Linked DNA regions of Drosophila melanogaster. The protein of the gene in region 1 interacts with the protein of each later gene in a pairwise test. Each region holds a gene or a part of one and is shown in the gene's direction. Other genes may lie near its edges. The genes, in order: CG6126, CG31211, CG33169 and Cpr50Cb.

What was found.
Region 2: the proteins of CG6126 (region 1) and CG31211 interact in a two-hybrid assay, tested with the Drosophila melanogaster proteins (one large-scale study listed by BioGRID).
Region 3: the proteins of CG6126 (region 1) and CG33169 interact in a two-hybrid assay, tested with the Drosophila melanogaster proteins (one large-scale study listed by BioGRID).
Region 4: the proteins of CG6126 (region 1) and Cpr50Cb interact in a two-hybrid assay, tested with the Drosophila melanogaster proteins (one large-scale study listed by BioGRID).

What each region holds. Positions count from the first base shown.
Region 1 is NT_033777.3:16,197,463-16,204,724, reverse strand, and holds CG6126 (uncharacterized protein), read left to right. Parts: upstream 1-1,641; 5' UTR 1,642-1,891; coding exon 1,892-1,934; intron 1,935-4,830; coding exon 4,831-5,465; intron 5,466-5,527; coding exon 5,528-6,517; 3' UTR 6,518-6,725; downstream 6,726-7,262. Other genes in the region: mtSSB (mitochondrial single stranded DNA-binding protein), read left to right, coding at 189-411; CG31287 (uncharacterized protein), read right to left, coding at 511-717, 775-1,077, 1,132-1,290.
Region 2 is NT_033777.3:11,947,850-11,954,538, forward strand, and holds CG31211 (uncharacterized protein), read left to right. Parts: upstream 1-1,830; 5' UTR 1,831-1,955; coding exon 1,956-2,505; intron 2,506-2,577; coding exon 2,578-2,935; intron 2,936-3,008; coding exon 3,009-3,162; intron 3,163-3,400; coding exon 3,401-3,643; intron 3,644-3,873; coding exon 3,874-3,976; intron 3,977-4,332; coding exon 4,333-4,389; intron 4,390-4,791; coding exon 4,792-4,916; intron 4,917-4,977; coding exon 4,978-6,069; 3' UTR 6,070-6,189; downstream 6,190-6,689. Other genes in the region: Hsp70Aa (heat shock protein 70 Aa), read right to left, coding at 6,512-6,689.
Region 3 is NT_037436.4:22,861,840-22,865,011, forward strand, and holds CG33169 (uncharacterized protein), read left to right. Parts: upstream 1-2,024; 5' UTR 2,025-2,143; coding exon 2,144-2,320; 3' UTR 2,321-2,657; downstream 2,658-3,172.
Region 4 is NT_033778.4:13,792,948-13,797,777, forward strand, and holds the start of Cpr50Cb (cuticular protein 50Cb), read left to right. Parts: upstream 1-1,829; 5' UTR 1,830-1,991; intron 1,992-2,157; 5' UTR 2,158-2,228; coding exon 2,229-2,258; intron 2,259-4,830.

The sequences.
Region 1 (7,262 bases):
TAATGAGTTATTAGAACATTTGCTGTATGTAATTACCTAATGATAACGGCAATAGTGTACATTTCCTTGTTCAATTAACTTCAGTGATCAATTTCTTCTTAGGATCCATGAAATGCCGGATTTCATAAAGAAAATAGCTACCATTTCATTTAAAAAGCATTCATGAAGTCTTAAATATTTCCCCACAGATATGAGAACGGCGACTGGGCCCAACGCACCGACTGGCATCGTGTAGTGGTGTTCAAGCCCAATCTGCGTGACACCGTGCTGGAATACTTGAAGAAGGGACAGCGAACCATGGTGCAGGGAAAGATCACCTATGGAGAGATCACCGACCAGCAGGGCAACCAGAAGACTAGCACCAGTATCATAGCCGACGATGTGTTGTTTTTCCGTGATGCCAACAACTAAAATTTAAGCCCAGATCACCAAACCTAATCTTAAGCGAAAAGTTGAACTTGCAGCATTGTAAGCATTTATAATATTCGTTGGATATATTGTGTTATCAGATTACATGCGTAGTCGTACTCCACATGTGTCTTTTGGTTTTAACTCCTTGACCTTTTTGCATGGGAACGGTGCGTTGAATTGGCGTGCATGTTCGTTATAAAGCTGCTCGAACTCCTTTTGAACTTGTGTGACCTGGCTCTTCAATTTTTCGATATTTTTTTCCATAGACTCCAGTGTATTATTGTGGTAATCGATAAGCTTGGTTACCTGTTGATACACTCACTTTAGAAACTCTAAATACAACTTTTAGTCATCATTTCATACCAAATTTACGGAAGGTACTTTTGCGGATATCTGCTCATTATACGTCGCGACCTCCTCTTTGATCTGATTGCAATGATCGACTGTTTTTTTCGAAGACATCAGCATACTCAGCAAATCCTGATATGTGGTACTTGCCAAAGGAAACACTTGGCCTGCCAGACTCTCAGGACTCGGATAGCTCTGCTCCAATTTCGTAACTGCTTTCTCCGCCTGTATAAGGTTAATCTCGTTTTCATGCAGCTCCATTTCTACCCTAAGCATGGTGCACTTTACTGATCTCAGGGTATCATCGATGGGAAGTGCCTGTTGGAGTATGAAAAATTTATATCCTGTTTGCCTATGGCCATTGAGTCTCACATTTTTGGCATTGTCTAGGCAAATTTGTTCCTGTTCCTTAAGAAATTTTAACTTGGTATTGAAATCTGATTCCATTTCAAGGCTGTCCTGCATTAAAATATCCGCCAGCATATCCAAGTACAGGAATGTCGACGGATCTGATAAGTTTGGCTCACACATAATTTTAAAATTAACTTTAAATGAATTTTATGTATTTTTTGTATGTGTTTTTGTGACTTATGTTTTGTTTGTCACTGAGTGTTAGGCAAATCAAAGCTTGCTAAGGTATGAGTTTTCTGATCGTATTCTAATCTAAGGGATCCTTGCCAAGAGGCATCATTTATTTTCATACATCAAGGATTATAATGGTGATTACAGTTTTTGAAGCTCTTACCCTCGAGCAGAGTTTGCTCTTTAGTTCCCAACTTTGGAGACCTCCACAAGCTCTCTTCGCTCGCGAGCTTGGAGCGACCTTATCGCCATTTACCACTCAGTTTTCTCGCTGAGCGACACAGTTCGCAGTTAGTTTTTGCCAGTTCAAATGCTGCCGGCGGTCGGAAGAGTTGATAGCTGATCGAGCGCTCCGTTTGCGATTTTGTTTCACTCGAGCACGTTGTTTATCCCGGATTCGTTTTGCATCTTCGCGACCCGTAACTATCAGCAGTGCTGCACTGGTGTGCCATTCATACATGCTCCACTTCTGCAGAAGATGACGATTTGTTAAGAAGCAATAGCAAACAGTTACTTTCATTTATTTTTGATTATCAATAAAAAATCAAACATGGCTGTGGATTATGTACTGGAGGACCTGATGGGGAAACTTGGTGAGTGGAATGGGCTTTTGGGAGCGAAGACTTTTGAAAGGTCAGCTGTTACGTTGCCAGGCGTCTCCATCCCGTGCTGATAAGAGCCTGGCGTTATGCTTATCATTTTGAGAGGTCTTATCAGCGTTGCAAGCTACTATGGATAATATTTTGTTTCACGACGACCAATGAGGTTTACCGCCCAACCTTCTGTTCTGCTTTTAAAATCTATAATTAATTTTTCCGTATTATGCTTTTAATCTCCGCCTAATCTATCCGGCTGGCTGTCCGTCACGTCAAGTGCTCAAAAGAAGCCGACTATAATACTTTTTTAATTGCAACTATTTTCATTTTCATTTTGCACTATTCTTAATTTAATAAATCGTCGAGGCCACCAAGTGACAGACATTTATGACAGCTTGATAGAGACTCCGACCTGTTGCTCCCCTTTTGACTATATACCATACCAAGTATGTATTTATGTACACATATAGTCGACACATGTTCGTGTGGGCCAAGTTCTGAGCTGGAGGCTGTCTGACACTTGTTGAGCCTACTTGGCTTTAGCACAGTGACGCTAAAACGAGTGTGGCGGCTAACAGGCAAACAAAAATAAAACGGGTGCAAAAGGGGCGGTATCTGTCACAAGACTGTGAAGTAGGCTCGTCATAAAGATCTTGGGATCTACGGATATCTGGGTATTTGCTTATAATTTATTATATACTCTAATTGTGCGGTTCAAACATTGCAGCTAGCTTGTGGAAGCTACAAAATTAAGCGTGTTTATATGCAGTATGCAAAATAGTTAAGATTAATTGTGGGAATACAGTGGAAGATCGATGGATAAACAGTTTTATTTGTCACGGCTACAAATTAGAAATTTATGAGTCACATAAAATATGAGTTGGAATATAAAATTTGTGTCAACGATTGTGCTGAAATTGTCGTTAATTAAAATAGAACAGTTTTTTACAATCCGAAACTGGTTTTGTATTAAGCATTCGCAAAACCGCAGCCTATAAGAAAGTGACAGGAGAGAGGGAGTAATAATCGCATTAGCGACTTTTTTATTCGTAATATATTCGCATACATTTGTATCTGTGAAATGCAAAAAACCTTAAACTGGTTTGCTCACATTCAACTATATGGCAATACCTCCCTCAGCCATCAAAATTCACATATCGCTCTTTTATTTCTGTTTACTTTGTTGAAGGCCTATTGGCGAGCAGCAACTCTAATTACTTCGAATTTGGAGGCGTGTTGCATTGCTGAGTTGGTTGTTATTTGTACGTAAGAAGGTTACCATAAAACCAGCAACTTAAAATGACTTTGAGAGCACTTCCACACGTGCTATGTGGAGAGCACAGAACAGAACTAAATCGACCTTCAGTTGTTAGTAAACGCGGGAAGTGAAAATGTTGAAGTACGGATGAACAAAAACCGAAGGAAGCCTTAAAGTGGAGGTGTAAAACCATGATCTACCTCAATTATTCGAATCATGATACTTAAGCACAAAGGAAATTTTAAAAGCTTTGAAGAAATCAACTCTGAAATAAAGCAACAGTTGATAGTAGAATAACAGTAGATTAATATACATGTGCAATATTGTTAGAAATATGACTGCATTATTTTTTAATATTCCGTGTTCTTATCCATCTCACTTATCGCTCAAAAAGTTTGCCCAGAATAAACAACGGTCCAAACCTGCGCCATATTCATTTTAATGTGCAAACTGTTGGTTTTGTACATCATAATAGATGGCTTACGATTAAGAGAACAACAAACATTGACAGGGCCAAAAACAAATGTCGTATTCAAGGGCCACTTGGCAACAATTATACGGCTAGTTATATTGGACGGATGCAATAAATCTGAAGCAACAATATCACTGATATATGATCTAGCATTTGGTGGCCTCTGATAATCCGCTATGAGTTCCACATTAGTATTTACTATTACGAGTTTAGTTATCACAAATTTGGCCAATCGATTTCCTAGATTGTGCTCAATTATACGCTGATTATGTCTATTGGGGGCGTAATTGAATTTCATTAGGCGTAGAGTCAAATTTTATAATTGAGATTAATTAAGTCAACCCGATGACATAATTTTACACTTCACGCAATCGTTTTAATAATGAAAAATGAAAATTCTCAGACGTTTTACTCATGATTTGTCGATTGCAACGTAACCGGGGTGAACGTAACTTTTCATTTGATGGCAAGAGTTTCGTTTAAACGATCAATAAACGTAACCCACAAATCAATTGAAACGGCTGATTGAACATTGGACCGTGATCAAGTGTCAAATTCTCGTATCTAGGCTACATACTGTCCATGTCGTTAGAAATTTACACAGCCCCTGGCCTCCCATCAACGCGATCGCCATGGACTGACTGACCAGCCAAGTCATAATCGATTCAGTGCATTCTCCCAAGACATCCGAGTCTCTTTTCATGGCGTTCGAAACCAAAACCAAACCAAACCAAACTGTGGGCAAATATTTGACGGGCTAGGCGAATGCGCTTCAATTGAAATCGAATTGAATAAATTCCACTTGATTTAATTGCAAAGCCTTTGGAGTGACGACAATTCCAGCGATACCCATTAAAAGTTCCCATCTACATAAAAGTCGGCTGTTTCTTTGGGTTGTGTTTTTATCGCAGCTACGTGATGTTCAAATTCAAATACTGAAATAAAAAACCGTTTTAAATAATTTGAGCTAGAACAACTTCCGTTTTCAGCTCAACTTACTTTCTTTTTATTATATTTAATCGTAAACTGGGTGATTCATGGGTGCTACAGATTATCACTATCTATCATGTTGCTGAAAGCTCACATTTGTTGTGCGCTCATAACCTTTCCCAAGACATTAATGATTGTGAAATGTCTTTCTATTTTTTTCTATCCAATTGCAGGGGAGTTTGGAAAGTACCAGTTCCTGCAGTTCTTCCTGCAGGTGCTCTCCGGCCTGACCGCTGGCATGCACATGCTATCGCTGGTCACGGTGGCCGCCGTGCCTGAGCATCGCTGCTTCATCGAGGGCGTGGATAACAGCAGCTTGTCGGTGACACCATGGAACTCGAGCGCTATCCTGGCCGCCATTCCGCTGAAGCCCAATGGCGAGCTAGAGTCCTGCCTCATGTTCGATCCCAGTAGTCCTGGCACCAATACCACCATCAATTGCGAACGTTACGTATACGACACGACGTACTACAAGACTTCGCGCACCATCGACTGGAACTTTGTGTGCGATCGCCGCTGGATGGGAGCCATTGTGCAGACCGTGTTCATGCTGGGCGTGTTCACAGGCGCAGTCACCCTTGGCGGACTCGCCGACAAAGTGGGTCGGAAAACCGTGTTCTGCTGGTCGGCCCTGTTCCAATTGATCATCGGTGTGGGTGTGGCCTTCATTCCCGAGTACTTCTCATTCATGGTGGCTCGCTACCTGCTGGGCATTGTGGGATCAGCGGGTGCCTACATCTGTGGGTTCGTGCTGACCATGGAACTGGTGGGACCTACCAAGCGTACTGTGTGCGGCATTACCTTCCAGGTGAGGAAGACTTCAATAGATTTTGCATTTTTTAAACTGGCTATACCATGCAATACTTTTAGGCTGTTTTCGCTGGTGGCATCATGTTGGTGGCCGGATGGGGAGCACTCATCCCTGACCGCCAGTGGCTCCAAGTGATCTACGGACTGCATGGCTGTCTGTTCCTGGGCCACTGGTGGTGGCTCGATGAATCTCCGCGCTGGCTGTGGATGCAGGGACGTGCCGCCGAGGCGGTGGATATTGTGGCCAAGGGCCTGAGAATCAACGGATCGGGCATCCCGGTGGACAAGGAGTACTATGTGCAGAAAGCCAAACAGCAGGCGGCGGCCGAAGAAAAATCCAGCGCCGGATTGAGCGACCTCTTCCGCACGCCCAACTTGAGGATGAAGACTTTGAACGTGTGCCTCTGCTGGTTCGCCAATTCTCTGGTTTATTACGGACTATCGCTCAGTGCCGGCAAGCTGTATGGAAATCCCTACCTGATCCTGTTCATCATGGGCCTCGTGGAGTTCCCCAGCTACATAACCATTGTGTTCGTCCTAGATCGCCTGGGTCGTCGATCGATCACCTCCACCCTGATGTTGGGTGGCGGTCTATGCTGCATTGTGGCCGCCTACATTGCCCAGGGCAGCACCACCTCCACGGCGGTGGTAATGGCAGGAAAGCTCCTCATCGCCGGTTCCTTTGCCGTAATCTACAATTACTCAGCCGAACTGTTTCCCACCGTGGTGCGGAACTCGGCCATGGGATTGGGATCGATGTGTGCCCGTTTGTCGGGAGCCCTTACTCCGCTCATTACATTGCTGGACTCATTTGATCCGAAGATACCGGCCGTGCTGTTCGGCGTGGTGGCCCTGATCTCGGGCTTCTGGGTTATGTTCCTGCCGGAGACAATGAACCAGCCCATGCCCGAGTCCATTGAGGATGGAGAGAACTTCGGAAAGGGAGATACTTGGTTCAGTCAGTGTGCTGGTCGCAAAAAGCGCCAGAATAGCGTATATCCCGACGATCCGGAGCAAATGGTGCCGCTCAAGAACATCGAGAGCAAGTAGAACCTAGCCAAAGACGATTGTTTCCCAAGTCCAAAATCCAGCTTAAATTCCTTGTTACCCTGTGTTTTCTTGTTAAGAATTCTACTCTTCTGCCTAGTAGTAAGATTTAATAGTTTCTATTCATTCCAAGCGAATAAAACGATGTGCAGAATATGGGGAATCCTAATTTGTGGATTCACTCATTTCTGAGTGTCCCTTTGTTGTTTGTACGGATTTTTTCTTTTAATTTTTTCGGTGGTAAAATTTAGTTTAAAGGAAATTTAAATGCTTGACGAGCATTTTTACTGATTAGTGTTGTCTACTTTTAGGCTCTATCAATTTAGGCGCAGATTCATAGCTTGAATTTCAATTTTCTCTACGGTAAAACCAGTACACACCAAAAAATTATTTCCCAACTATTTCCAATTAAAGTTTATTCTCCGACCGACACAGCCAATTCGGGTTCGTCTGGCCTTGCAAAGTTTCAGTAATTTCCACTCAATTGCACTATCGAATTGCCAATTGCCGACAGGGATTTCCAATGTCAAATCCATAACCCATCGCTTCCCTTTGCTCCACATGATGTTTAACCCGCCAATTAAAGTTTGTTTAAAGAGAGAGTTTTGGTTTTTCGGTTTTTGTTTCTTGTTTGGTAATTCTTCATTTTGTTTTGTTTGGTACATTTGAGAACATTCATTTCGAATTTGAATATATTTTCAATTTAAATTTTAACTACACGTAGGCATATAGATTTATAAACGTATGT
Region 2 (6,689 bases), 4.2 Mb from region 1:
TTTAGCAATTATGCACGAGTTATCTCACGGTCAACTGGTTTTTTTCGAACGATTTTTTATTGTATTTTATACGAGTCGAATTTCGCATTGATGGAAATGCAAATAAACGCGCAGTGAGAAGAGAACATTTTCCGGGCCCCACAGCAAAAGGAAAAAGAAAATTCAAAACGGCACGCGACGCACGAACTTAATTATTTACTACGTGTGTGTGCGTGTTGTTGCACAACTACAATAAAAACTCAAAAAAAAAAAAATTAAATAAAAGCAAACAACAACGATCCAATGTCAGAGAACCACCCACACGAATTGAAAAGTCAAACGGACAAATTGAATTTCGGCCTGCAATTTACGCTTTTAATTAAATCATTAAAAGGGGGCACAAAGATTACGATTACGCCATTACAGAGCACACAGAAAATCAAGATCTGCGTATGATACCAAATTTCTGAGATTAAGTTGATATTTCATTTTTTTTTATTTTATTTTGATGGTTGAAAGATTGATATAGATAAAGACGTAAATTGAACTTTTGTTTCCTTAACATGACAAAGAAACTTGCAACCACTAAATATTTGTATATATTTTCAGTTAAATCGAATCACATGCTAAGTATATTAATAAAACGTTTGTCTTTGTAAAATCAACGAACTGTTGATCATCTATCCGTCCTGTTTTGCTCCCAGTGTAGCGGCAACAGTTGCACTGTTTGGTGTTTGGTGGCTCAAAAATGTAATTACGCACTCCAGTGCAAAAGCAATCGACAGCAAATTACATATTTGTAATGGTTTGCAATTGAACTGCTTTTAAAATTGAATAGCAATTAAATTGTTGCTTGGCAAACACGAACACACACAGCCCGAAAAAAAACCAGACAAACCACTACAGACAGACTCAGACACACACCGATAGAAACGCTGCTGCGCCGACGCAACTGCGCTGCAGAACTTCTCTTCCTCTTCTCCTTCTTCATCTTTTAATTTCTTTTACCTTTAACTATTATCTATTTTAGCATAATTTCATTCACACACCAGCTTTTGTTTGTATTGAAATTAGTCGCGGCGGCTGTAATTAAACAATGCGGTATTTCGAAACTCGCGCTGAGAACGACCGACAATAACACCAACACAGACAGGAGCGCGCCCTTCTCGCACGCACACAAATTTATTATAACACGTAAACAACAACGCCGCAACGCCGACGCAACTTATTTTTCCGGCAGCGACGCGTCCGCATACGTCCGCTCACGTTAAGTTCCGCAGAGAGAAGTTGTTGAAAACATAAACAGAATCACTTGTTGCACTCTTTGAGAAAAGTGGGGCTATTGCTGAAAAAACCAACTAAAAATATTGCAGGTTAGGGATACTCGCTCGATTGGCGTACGGCCACACTTTTGCGACTTCACTGTTAACCTCTACTTCATAGAGACTTTTACCCGATAAATGTTATGAGTTTGACTTTCTCTGTTAATCACAAGAAAAAATATTGTGGAAATTAAAATTATCTCAAATCAATAAAAAATAATAATATATACACCTATGTTTTATAGAAGTCAACAGTAAATAAGTTATTTGGAAAACCATTGTAGCCGTTTAAATAAATCTCCTTGAGTGTGTTTTAAATAACGGTCATTAAGTATATTACTTGGCCCTCTGAATTTCTTGAATTACACCATTTTTAGAAATAAATCAATCCAAAAGACTACTTTTTGGTGGCAAATGAACTGCATAAAAAGTAACAAAAGAAATATGTTTTTGAAATAACAGTATAGCTGAAGTGTATTAAAAAATACCGTCATATGAGCGACCCGCTGTTACCGCTTCGCTGCGAATGACAAAACGGGCTGAGCAAGAAAATGGCGTAGAAGGCGACGAAAATTCGTTTCACTCGTGAAGAAAACCTCGATAACTGAGGAATACAGCTGGGATTTAAAGAGCATATTCGAACTACAAGCAGAGATGTTTCCTGGTGGAAACGGAAACGCCGATTTGGGCTACAACAAGCATGCCCACGTCCATGGACTTGGACAACATGGCCATGGGCACAACCATAATCACAATCAGTTCCTGGCGCAGCCCCCACCACCCCCCACACATTTTTCACTGCCCTCCGGGGGCGGTCAGGGCATGGTGACGCCCATGGTAGCCGCCGGCCTGCCGCTCGCCATGCAGGGTGGCGTTGGCATCGATTGGGCGCAGCTCGCCCAGCAATGGATCCACATGCGGGACGCTACTCCGGTGCCCATGCCCCTGGCCCCTCCGCCGCCCATCATCAGCAATTTGCGAGAATACCACCAGCAGACGCTAGCAATGCCGGTGCCCAGTGTGGTCAGGGCGGGATTTCCGCAACTAGAGGAGCACGGCGAGGCGGATATGGACATGGACGATGAGAATGATCGGGGACATAGCACTGAGACACCCCCACCGCCAGCACCTTTGGTTACGCAATCCCAATGGCTGGCGGGCACCGAAGTGGCTGGTCAGATCCCAGACGCCTCCAACGGAGCGGGTTTGTAGAAGATCCAAGAAGATAGCACAATAAATCAGGTCAGCAACTAACCCTCCTCTCCGTTCCTTGCAGCTGTCACGCTGGGCAAGCAGCCATGGACCGGGTGGCAAATGCAGACCGACAAATCAGGCAATTCCACGGCGCATATACCATCTCTGCTGAAGCTGAACGTGAGCAATCCCAATGAGCCGCACCAACAGCTGCAGTTGCAGTTGCAAGCGCATCAGCAGCAGCAGCAGCAGCATGCTCCCCAACCAACGCATCCACACCATCCACCAGCACATCAGCCGCATGCACATCCACACCACCTAACACCACATACACACCTGCCGCCACAGCACACACAGCAGACGCATGCGGAAAGCGGAAGTAGCGGGGCTAGCAGTGAGATCGATGCAAACAAACGGAAAATGTTGCCAGCTTGGATAAGGTATGAGTGTGCAAAGAACCACAATAAGATGCACAAAAGATAGATACTTGTAATAATTTCCTTAATCTTTCAGAGAGGGCCTGGAGAAAATGGAGCGGGAAAAGCAGCGGCAACTAGAGCGCCAGCAATCCTCCATGACCACGCCAGATGTTGAGGTCAACCATGTTAAGCAAGTATCAAGCAAAACACTAACCACACCTGGTAATCTTTTGAACATCGCGAACGTGGTAAGTAAGGTCGATGGGCGGCAGGGTTAACTGACTCTCAATACGGACAGAAAAGTGCCGAAAGCGTAGCACACACCATCTCACACAAATTGGTTGCACAAAATTTAGACGGGACTGAACCAAACTGAAAACGATGTTTCGTCGTTGAAAGCACACAAAACTTAAAAACAATCCGGACAGTAGAGCAGACTGCAGGCTTGAGTGCAGGCTGTCGATTAAACATTCCCTTGAAATTCAGGCTAGCGACAGCGAAGATTCCATTGACGTGCCTGTGGAGGCGCGTGGAGAACTAAAGGTGCAGCAAATAGGTAATGAATTGATTAGTAAGGACGACGATCGAAGCAGCAGCAGCAGCGAAGAGCCAGAGTCGGAGCTGCATGGAGCCATCGAAACCGGCAATCGGACAGTGGCGGAGCACGTGAGAATGGCTACCGTAAACGATGTCAATGGTAAAAACTACGAAGAAAGACTGGCGGATCTGGTAGGCATCACCATTTGACCCGGATGTTTGCTCAGCCAGGCGATGAAATCGAGTGAGTCTCAGAGGCGAAGGAACTGCGGAATTCTGACAACACTTTACTGGCTGCTCTGCAGTTCGTTCACTCTTCACTAGAGTTTCATTCCCTGGCCATCGGCGGCACATCCAAAAAAAAAACCCATTTGTATAGTTGCAAACAATGAATATGAACACCCAATACCACCCATCTGTAGATGCTTGTGGTGCGTCGGACACTAACCGAAATCCTGCTGGAAACCACGAACGAAGAGATTGCAGCCATTGCAGGCGAGACTCTAAAAGCACACCGTGCGAAAGGTACATTATGCATTATACTTAAGTTTATCCCAAACCGATTTCTTCCAGCGCTCGCGCTCGTGTGTGTGTGTGTAAGTAGTTATAGATCGTAAGACGGCGCGGATATATCGCGGATCGATTGTAGCTTGGATGACCGGATGTTTCGGCCAAGCGATTGGAGTCGTGTTTTTTCCGGCTTCACAGCGCGTTACCAACTCTTTTAATCCTATGTCTATGCTAATAATCTTTAAATCCCTAATAATGAATTGATATATCGAACACCACACAAACCAATGAAATCACTTGCTGAATTTTTTAATTTTAATATATAATATATATAATTATATATATATATGTATGTATGTGTAAATCAAAAGCGTCATCAGCCCAAGTGATTCGCAAAAGCGCCTTGTCCTCCATTACCGGCAACTTGGGTAAGTAACCAAATTCCAGTTTAGTTCATACATATTCTTTGCACTATTTTTGTTCAGAGGTAGTCTGAGTTATGCTTGGTCATCCTGTCTTTCTATACCCCAAATCCTAATCACAAAACGAAAAGATATTACAAAGAATTGGATTACTCCTATGGCCGAGATTTAACATTCTATGCTTCCTGTAAATTTAAGCCATGGCCAAATGATTTCGACCCCCTCGGCGCAGTTTGGTCTTTCTAGCCCGCTTCTTCGTCCTTTCGCTTCCCCATTTCCCCTTCCTTTCACCTTTCCGTAAATTCTTGCGAAGATATTGAAAATCAGTTCAAAATATACCAAAATCTGCGCCCGATCTACATTGAAGCCTGGTAGCAACAATTAGCACTTGACTGATTTGAATTATAGGTTTAGCTGCCTATGGCGATTCTTCCAGCGAAACCGAGGATGATGAGGATGATGAAGATGAGCGTCAAGCGGGCGCTGGAAAGGATGCCGAAAAAAGCGCGCAGCTAAGCGCGGAGGAGTTGAAAGTAAGTTAGCCACACGTTCATTATCAAAAGATATCAATTCTCAATATTATTTGGCTTTTAGGCTCGCATAAGGCGCAGCAAACGATCCTTCGAGAAAGTCATTGACGACATTGAGGATCGAGTGGCCAAGCAAGAGCTGCTTGATGAGCAAACACTGCTGCGACATCGCAAGCGGGAGCTAGAACGCTCCGTAACTGGTGGTGGTGAGCATCGTCGACCGGCGGCCAATCCAGAACCGCCCAGTGAGTCGGCTAGTCAAGCAACCCAGGAAAAGCATCAGCAGTCAAATGGTATAGGTGATGCACATAAATCCAAAGAACTCCTAAGCATACATTGCCATCATTTAGGCAAAAGACTCAGTCGCAAGGAACGGACCACCCGCTTTAGCGACAACAAGGACGGCAAACAGCAGTCGCAGAGCTTCGTGCAACAAGTAGTGGCGACCGCTGTGGTGCCACCACCCGGAAGCCTAAGCAATAGCAGCCCACAAAAGCTGAAGCCCGTTCCCAATCCGGCCACTAATCTACTGCAGATGCCGGAGTCGGTGGCCACCATGCTGACTGCGGCTGACAAGGCGCTGCACAAGGCCAACAAGTCGTCGCATAAAAAAAGCAAGCGCCGCCACTCGTCCCCCTCGTCATCGTCTAGCAGCAGTGGGAGCAGCTCTAGCAGCGATAGCGACGACAGTAGCAGCACCTCGAGCGGATCCAAAACTTCAGGCAGCCGCAGCAAGCGATCCAGTCGGCATGGACACCGCAGCCACCACAGCAGCAGTCGGAGCAAATACGAACGTCGCGATCGCGACAGAGAAAGGGAGCGGGCGCGGGAGCGAGAGCGGGACCGTGATAGGAGTCATCGCCAGCATCGTAGTAGCCAGCTTAGTGGAAGTCACCACCAGAAACAGCGCCGACATCGCGAGTCCAGCCATTCAGGCGAAGATGCTGGCGGTAGCAGCAGTTACCACCGCTCCTCGCGGCAGAGCAGCAGCCGTAGCCATGATCATGGCAGCAACCGTAGCCATGATCACGGCAGCAGCAGCAGCGGACGGAAGCGGCACCGCACGAGATCCCGCTCCAAGTCGCGAAGCACTCACCACTCCAGCTCGAAAGCATACTCCTCCACTTCCGCGTCGCATCCGCGCAAGCGCCATTAAGAAAAATCTTGCGCGTAAAAATCCGAAGTTAATTGTTAATATTACATAATTATTATTTCTTCTGTTTAAGATGCTTTTTAGTAAACAGTTTTAAATCAGCCTAATAAATTAAAAACTCAGAAAAATTTGTTTTTTTTTCATGTGTTATGCGAATATCCTCATAATAATTAGATATATTTTTAAAGTTGGACATACGGGAATACGGGAATTAAGTTCCCAATAATACAAACAAGTAAACTTTTTTAAATTCAATAAATAATTTATTTTTTCTATAAGCAATAACATTTTTGCTAAATTAAGACTTGGTAATTAGGTAATACTATTGTTGTTCTATGGAATATTCGATCGAAACATTCTTATCAGTCTCAAAAACTTAAAACAAACTTATAATATAACCCATATGTTATAACCCATTGATGAACAAAAATTAGACTCTTTGGCCTTAGTCGACCTCCTCGACCGTGGGTCCAGAGTAGCCTCCAAATCCTCCCGCCTGCTGGCCGCAGTTTGCTCCCGGACCACCAGCTCCAGCTCCCGCACCCTGCTGATGCATCTTGGTCATGATGGGGGAGCAGTGGCGGGTGAGCTCCTCCAGCTTGTGGTCGAACTCCTCCTTCTCG
Region 3 (3,172 bases), on another chromosome or scaffold:
TATTGTGGTTTATTGAAGAAAACTTTCAACATATGAGTGGCTTAGAATGAGTACATTTGTTATTTGCGTAGCATGACAACCCTCGGCTATTTGTTAACAAATCCTACTCGTATCCTGAACATAGGCCAGATGGTTAGAAGTGCATTGCGTATTACATTTTAACTTCGATCCTAGCTTGTTTGTAAATTAAGAAGTGCTACCACTAAAATTACTTCTAAGTTGCCTGTGGTACTTGCGTTTAATTGTTCGTTTGATCATTCGAATAGTGCGATCGGAGGCCATTCGACGAAGCCATGCTCCATCAAAACGCCAAATCCTCCGAAGACAGCAATTCTGGCTGCTTGCCGTTTAGATAGAGGTGGCTCGGGGGGGGGGGGGGGGGCAGCTCTGACAATGAGTGAGCAACGATAATCTATTATGACCGTAACAAGAAATAAATCCCAACTCGGTAATCCATCATTTTACGAGTTGGCAATCAAAACAAGGGGTTTAGCTAAGAGTTGGTCTCCCGGCCCCAAGGACGGACAGGTGGACCGGGCTGACGGACGGCGGCCTGGCCAATCAGCGGACTGGCCATCACACATAGCTGGCCAGCGAGCTAACGAACAGGCCGTGTATGATGGTCGTGTAAGCGCTGGCCAGAACCAGGAAACTAAGATTGGACCTGGACGGGAACACGACTTTCGGACAGCCGCGTGCGCATTGAGGCCAATCTGTATGTAACGTGAGGACTCGCCCGGGCTGGCAGGTCTAGGCCTTTAGGGGCCGGCTAAATAGTTGCCAATAATCCGTGTCCAAACTGATCGGGTTGCCGTTTATGGTAATGGGCAAAATTAGATGCCGAAATGTGCGTTGGCTCGCCAGGCTTCATTACCAATGCACAAACTTGGCAGTGCGTCCCGACTGATTGGCCACTCGGCCACGGTTGCCGGCCAGCGGTCTGCATTGTTATTGCTTCATCAAGTGTGCAGCGGCCAGCTTATCCAGCACGTCCGGTGTCCACAATATCCATAGTGTCCAGCACTCGCGGCAGAAGCCCAAGCAGTGACTGCGTGGCATAGACCCGACCCCTGGGAGTATTGCGAACTGCTCAAACATTTTCGAAATCGCATTCAGAGGTGAAGGTGCAACAGTTGCTGGCGTATCTTGTTTCGACGGCCTCGGGTGCAGTTAAAGGGCTTAAAGGGGCGGCAGGCCAGTTAAAGAAAAATATGGGTTAGATTCTTCCGCAGCGCCATGCCAGCGGTCAATACAAAGCAAAATTGAAACGCGGTTCTCTCCGCCTCCGTTTAGTACCGCCTGAGGAAGAACAGAAGCTGTGCAGCATTGACAAAAACCAACCCAAAACCAATAGCTATAATAATGTATAAATATCATTTTTGAATAATAGAAAACTTTCAATTACTAGTAAAAGGTACTCTTTCGAATTTTCGATGCTTGGTATAAAAAAATACCTCTGAAGCAGATAGAAAAACATTCAAATATTTTGACTACGATTTACTTTTAATCTGACTAAATTCGAGTGAGATTTTATTCGTTGCAAGAATTTTGTAATATTTATTGTAATGTATCGTTGTTTCGTTATCTTTGGACAACGTCTATACTCACATATATGCATATACGTTTTTGACTTTCGCCTGCAGTCAAAAATTTATTCAGTCGGCTTTATTTTCTTTTAAACTATATTTATTTTATATTTTGTTTGGGTAAATAAAGTATTCACTATTGACTGGCAAGTGAATTTTGTACAACTTGCTACGACATTTTTATGTTCAGATGGAGGCAAATACAGCCCCAGGTTAATTGATGGCTTTCTAACTTATGAAATGCGTTATTTAATTATAAAGACTTTTTTAAACGCGCGCTTCCGTCCCAGAGACATTGTTCAACACTAGTCGGCCGGACGTGTCATCAGAGTAACCCGACCAGAAACTGCATGAAATAAGCAGCACTGTCGACAGTCAAAAGCTGCCTGCTTTTAGCCAGCCCAGTCGAACGTTTCTTCTTCTTCTTTGGCCCAGAAACAACTTGTTGAACGAAAGAAGGCCAGCTCTCTGTTTTGTTGCTCCACGCACACACATTCCGACGAGTGTTACACGTCACCAGATTAAAGGAACTATCGCAAAAACTATCAGTGATAAAGATGCGCCAGCTGAAGGGAAAGGTGAAGGAGACGCGCAAACAGAAGAAGGAGCGCAAGCTGGACAACCTGGAGACCCAGGCGAAGATCCGCACCGTGGTGCTGCCGGCGCTCGGCGTTTTGGCGGTCTTTCTGGTGCTGTTCGTCTACTTGAAGACCCGCCCCGCGGTCTTGGCCTAATGTAGTCATAAAATGTAGTTTATAGTCGTGGTCAGTGCAATTGAATCGTTGTAAAGACATATAGCCTTAATAGTACAATTAAATCACAGTTCGTCCATCCAAAAAGCATGTTTTACATAAAGTGGATTTTCCATGACACGAACAACACCCTGCTGTTCAAGTGCAGTTCCTGGGAATTTGAGATTTGGGGACAAAATGTATCCGAATTACGGTCGTTGGTGGTAGTGTTGAAAACCGTCTAGCGCTTTGGCGGTTGATTAAAAAAGGGCACTAGGAAACGGTAAAAACCGTAGCAGAGGCACTTCAATATGTAAATATGTGCATATGTATATTAGAGAAGGCGGCATCCACCAACATGTTTTATTTTTGGCCGTTTTGCGTTCAGTTTTTAATTGCGATTGCCCTTGTTTCAGTTTCACTTACGCCCGTCCACCGAGGAGCTCGTCGTCGGTGACCGCAAACTAATAATTGTTAATACATATGCATATGCATGTACATAAATTGAAGTAAAAGTTCAGTGCTCGAAAGGCAGTAACTTAACTCCATAGTTATCAGAGTCAGCCAAATACGATTACCTAACCATACAAACACAAATCGCAGTGGGCCAGTCAGCTGTTTTCAGATTCCGAGCAGCTGCAGACGAAGCGCCGAAGCAGCGTCGTTTGACGTTTCTTTTTCACATTCTCTCACTTTTGCTAAGACTCTCACGCTGGCGGCTGCGGGTGACAAAGGCTCCTTTAACTATTCCACTATGCTCAAGTTTCTGGTAAGTTTTCCGGTTTCCTGATGTTTTTAAGTTTATGATTCACACCTGAAATCATATCAGATACGAGATACAACTTTTCTGTGGTT
Region 4 (4,830 bases), on another chromosome or scaffold:
AATCCTTTCGTAATCGCAGCTACCAACGATTGCACTTGATTTCGAGAGCGTCTCAAAAGAAATTTCAATTTGCCCCCAGAGTTTGCGATATGGGTAACAATCCCAACAATCCGAACAATCGGACCAGTTGGTAGTTTTCAGTTGCCAGTTGGCCCCGATTGTCGGCGGGTATTATGTTGTTAAGACATCGTTTTGACAGTACGTTCGCCTCCGCGTGAAGAAGACCGTTTGAGATACACACACACCACATACACACACGCGCGCACATGTGTATCCGCAGCTCAAGTGTCACGGAAATCTAAAGTTAAAAGTAACCAAAAGTTGTTCAATTACTTTTCACAGCGGTCCATTGAAGATTGCCAGCAGGTGTAAGCGGCGCTGATAGAGGTAACATCTTAGGTACACGAAATGTTACCTTGGAAAATGGGTACCAAACTAATAAAATCTAATAAAATTGCTTATAAAAATAAGATATTGAGATATTAGAGTATCTTTAAGATTGCAGCTATTGAAAACTAATACCATATCTAATATTACAAATATATAATATTATATTAATAATAGTTTTAGTCATAGCCCAGTGTAATTGGTAATAACATTTCGATTTTGGTACAAGATTTTCGCATCACTGATTATAAGATGGGTTGATTGTAAGTGTAGCTATTTTCGATTGATTGCTCCCCATAATAATTTCAATATCTAATTTTAATATCGCACGCACGCACACATCGCCACCTCGCAAGTGGTCAATAAAAATGTGAAGAAACTCTGAAATCAGTCATCGGATTGCTTTTAATTGTTATTTAATCTCGGCTCGTACAGAGGCGCTGTGATACATTCAAGGTTAATTGGTTATGGGATGGGATTTGAGGCCTGACGGAAGAAAAGGAGCCATGCGGTTGATGTTGGTTGGAAGGAGGAAGTTGGCCCAAAGGCACTCGACACGTCTGCCAGCCTTGTGCAATGGCCAATGGATGAGTTTCGGGGCCTCGGCTACGGATCTTTGGCATGAGCCTCACGTCATAGATTGCATTTTGGCAGAGGTGCTGCGGGAAATTGGGACGCCACATGAACACGTTTGTGCAGCTTGTGCAATTTTCCCCGGGCAACCGCATCACGTACTTCTCACCAAACTTATTCTATGTTCTGATGCTTTCCCAAAGGCCAAATGGCAAAAAAAAAAAAAAGAAGAAAAAACAAACAAAAATAAATATATAGATATTTCGAAAAAGGGCGACTGTATCTTTGGAGGCTAAAACGAAACCTATCATCTGACATTCCCAGTGACATTTTCGTATCGTCTCGATGGCAACTGCATCGCCCGAGGGCCCAGACTTCATAAAAGCTTGGCTTAAATATCAAATTTGGCCGAGTATTTAATGAAGTCATTCGGGGCGTTGCAGGCTCTCCACTCGAACTCATCTTGTTATACATCCGCCCGAGCTTCATCATCATCGTGCCAGCCATTCATTTATCATCTCGTTACCCATCATCGTAATGATCGTGCCACGGCGATGATCTGCAACATTTTTCACCACCTCAACACCAAGACTTGGCCAAAACGGTGAGAGCAACGCTGCGCTCTCTTTGGGCCATTCTGAGAGACTCGTGGATGTGGATGCTCTTGGCTCCAGCTCCACGGAGGCAGATGATCTAGAAGTTAGGCGCTAGACTTGCCTCAATTGTTCAAACCGCTTTTTCGTTACTTTTAGGTGCAGTTGGCAACGCGAACGCCGCTGCTACCGCCGCTGCCGCAGTCGCCGTCGCCGCCGACGTCGCTGCCAGCGTCTTTGAGCGTTTATTATAAAAAGCAAGCGCATCTCCATTGTCTAACCTAATTCAAAACGTTCGTGTACTTCGTGCGGTTGTCTAGGAAATCAATCTAGCCGAACCTAAAAAGATAAAACCACCTCCTCTTTAACTGAGGCCCCCTCCTAGTTGAGAAATCCAACCGGTGATAAAAAAATAAAACCCTCCCCCGCCCGGTGAAAGTAAGAGTTAATACAACTATTGTGGCAAGCGAAGGACTACAAATTAAATAGTGTGCAATAATCATAAAAATAACACAAAAGACACTCGATTAACTCGAAACAATATAAATGAAATAATTGACAACTCTAATGAATTTAATTTAATTCAATTCAATTTCAACTTCAGCCAGCGGCGTTTGTGGATACACTACTTTTTGCCATCGTCTGTGAACGTAAAATCGAAACTCAACTAACAAAATGATGTCCTTCAAGTCGTTCGTCCTGCTTGTGAGTATTTATACATACGTACATAAAACAAGGACATGTATTTCTGGGCCTGGAAAAAAAAAACATAGCTAAGCCTACATAAATCAGTTGGCCAAACAAATCATATGAGATTTCGCAGGCGTGTCCTTTGGCTAAAGCGAAACTATATATGTATGTATGTTTGCATGTATGTGTATGTGTGTGGAAAGGCCAGCAAGCTAAGCTTGTTATATGTCAAATTTGTTTATCGCTGGCAGGGAAAAATGACCCGTGGTCACTCAGTGTCCTTTTTCGTCTACAATGTCATTTTTCTGCTGCGGCTTTTGGGGAAAGTTTAAATGAGATTTGCTAGGAGAACTGAAGGCAACTACCCATCAAACTGGTTGTTTCAAGTGCCTGGCAAACTGTTTGCCTTCCTTTTTTTTCGTTTTTTTTTGGTAACACTTGCCGTCAATGGCAACGAAAATGATTGCATAACTTGCCACACGTCTGCCACAGAGCCTCTCATCATCATCATCATAATCAAAACCCAAGTCCACACACACACACACACGAAAGTCAAGTGGCGAAGGGGCCAAAGTAACCCCGCCGAATCGAACAAATTGCAAATAATCAAAGACACTTAAGTGCTCCACTCCGCTCTGGTTAATATATATATATATATATACATATGTACTTGTACGTACTCCTCCATGGATACGCATTCAATATTTGGCAACATCTGCGTTTGCCAAGTGCCACGTAAAATACGCCCCAAATCTAAGCAATACTCCCTGATTGTTCCTAACTAAACACTTGAGTTTCGGAGAAGGCTAAAAGGTTGTAAGGCGGAGGACACATGTTGGTAATATATTTCCCCTTTCGTATTTAGGCATCATCTGAGGAAAATTGCAAACCTTTTTGCTCCCCTTGAACAATTGCAAATATATAAGGCTCCAACTTGACTTTATTTTGTAGGCAAACTTTTCTTAGCTGGTGCTAAATTGACACAAGTTTTTTTTCATCAAATTGTTGAAAAATATACTTTATACTTTACTAATATAGTTTCGTAAAAATATTTATATAATTTGTTTCAAATTGCTGTAAATTGACACAGAAAGAGTTGTGCAACTAAGAAATTTCTAGGTGATCCAAAATCCTTTCTGTTACCTATTAATTTACACATTTCGCTTTGGAAATTCTCCATATTCTCACAATTTTATTGTGAAATTACAGTATTGAATACTTTTCCTGGAAGTCCAGAAGTTAACCCGCAATCAAGAGCACACTTGTAAACTGCGAAATACTTTCACTTGTTCGCCATTGTTAAAGCATTTTGAATCGCGTTTTGGGACGACGCCCTTAAGCAGGCAACAAAATAAAACAGACGCGAGTTTCGCTGGCTGCTCCTTGATGTCCTTTTATTTTTTGTAACTGGGGCGTGTTAAATTGTTGGTGCGACACTTGGATGCAATGCAGGTCCAGACGGCAGACCACACTGTCTGGAATCCATCCAATGTACCTCCGCCCATTCCGCGTTACGTGAGCACACAGGAGAAAAATTAGATTTCTTCAAAAACCAAAAGTGTCTAAAAAGATTGAGATATAAAATTATATTAATAGGTACTCAATGAAAGCCATTCAAATGTATGAAGATTTTCAAAGAAGACATAATCAATATCTAATTAAAATTTAATTGGTCATACATCATGTAATTACTCGAATGAATTTTTACGATTAACGTAATCGTGATTAATGGACGAGCATAACTAGTAGTTAAAATAAACGCAATATATATGCAATGTTTGAGGCCAAAGTGTTAGATCTTAAATGTTCTTCTATTAGCCATGTTTTTTTTCAGCGGTTTTTCTCGCAGTGCACTCCTCCATCTCTGATGCGTCTGGTCTGCCAAGCAGATAACTTCCAAAAGGTACACCAGACGATAGCAAAGGAATAGAGTTTGAGAGCAGAGTGTAGAACTCCAGCCAGACGCGTGTAATTTGCCGCTTGTAACTTTTTGACTTTTCACCAGCGATTCTCCATTTCCCCAATGCCGCTATATTCCCCTTATTTTCTTCTCCTTTTTTTTTACCATTCTTGTTTTGGCCCGAACTGGGCGAATAACAGCAGGCACGGAAGCGTACCAAGCCAAAAATAAAAACCAGGAGCCCAACCACCCACTGCCACATCCGCCCACCAAAAGGCAGACACTCGATAGACAAATGGCCGCTGGCCAGTCGAGTGCACGGGCTTTTGAGAACATCGGGGCGAGCATGTTTTACATGTTAATTTCAGCCCGGGGGAGACTCAACTGGCCAACTACCCAGCTAGCCAACTATAGGGTACAGAGTACGAATACGTCGAGCACCCACACCAGCTAGTAATGCCCAACTGCTGCTGCATATTAATGCCCATGATTCCAGCTGCTCATTTTCGCACGCGAAAATTGCAGAACTGGTGGCAAAGAATTCGAGAAACGATTGGTAGCATTGACTGGCATTCATTCGGGCACGCTTTTGAATTTCAAATGACAAACCTAAAATATTCACAGTTTGATATTTGAGTCCGTCCGATGATGGTGCTGCTGCTGCTGCTGCTGCTGATGATGATGATG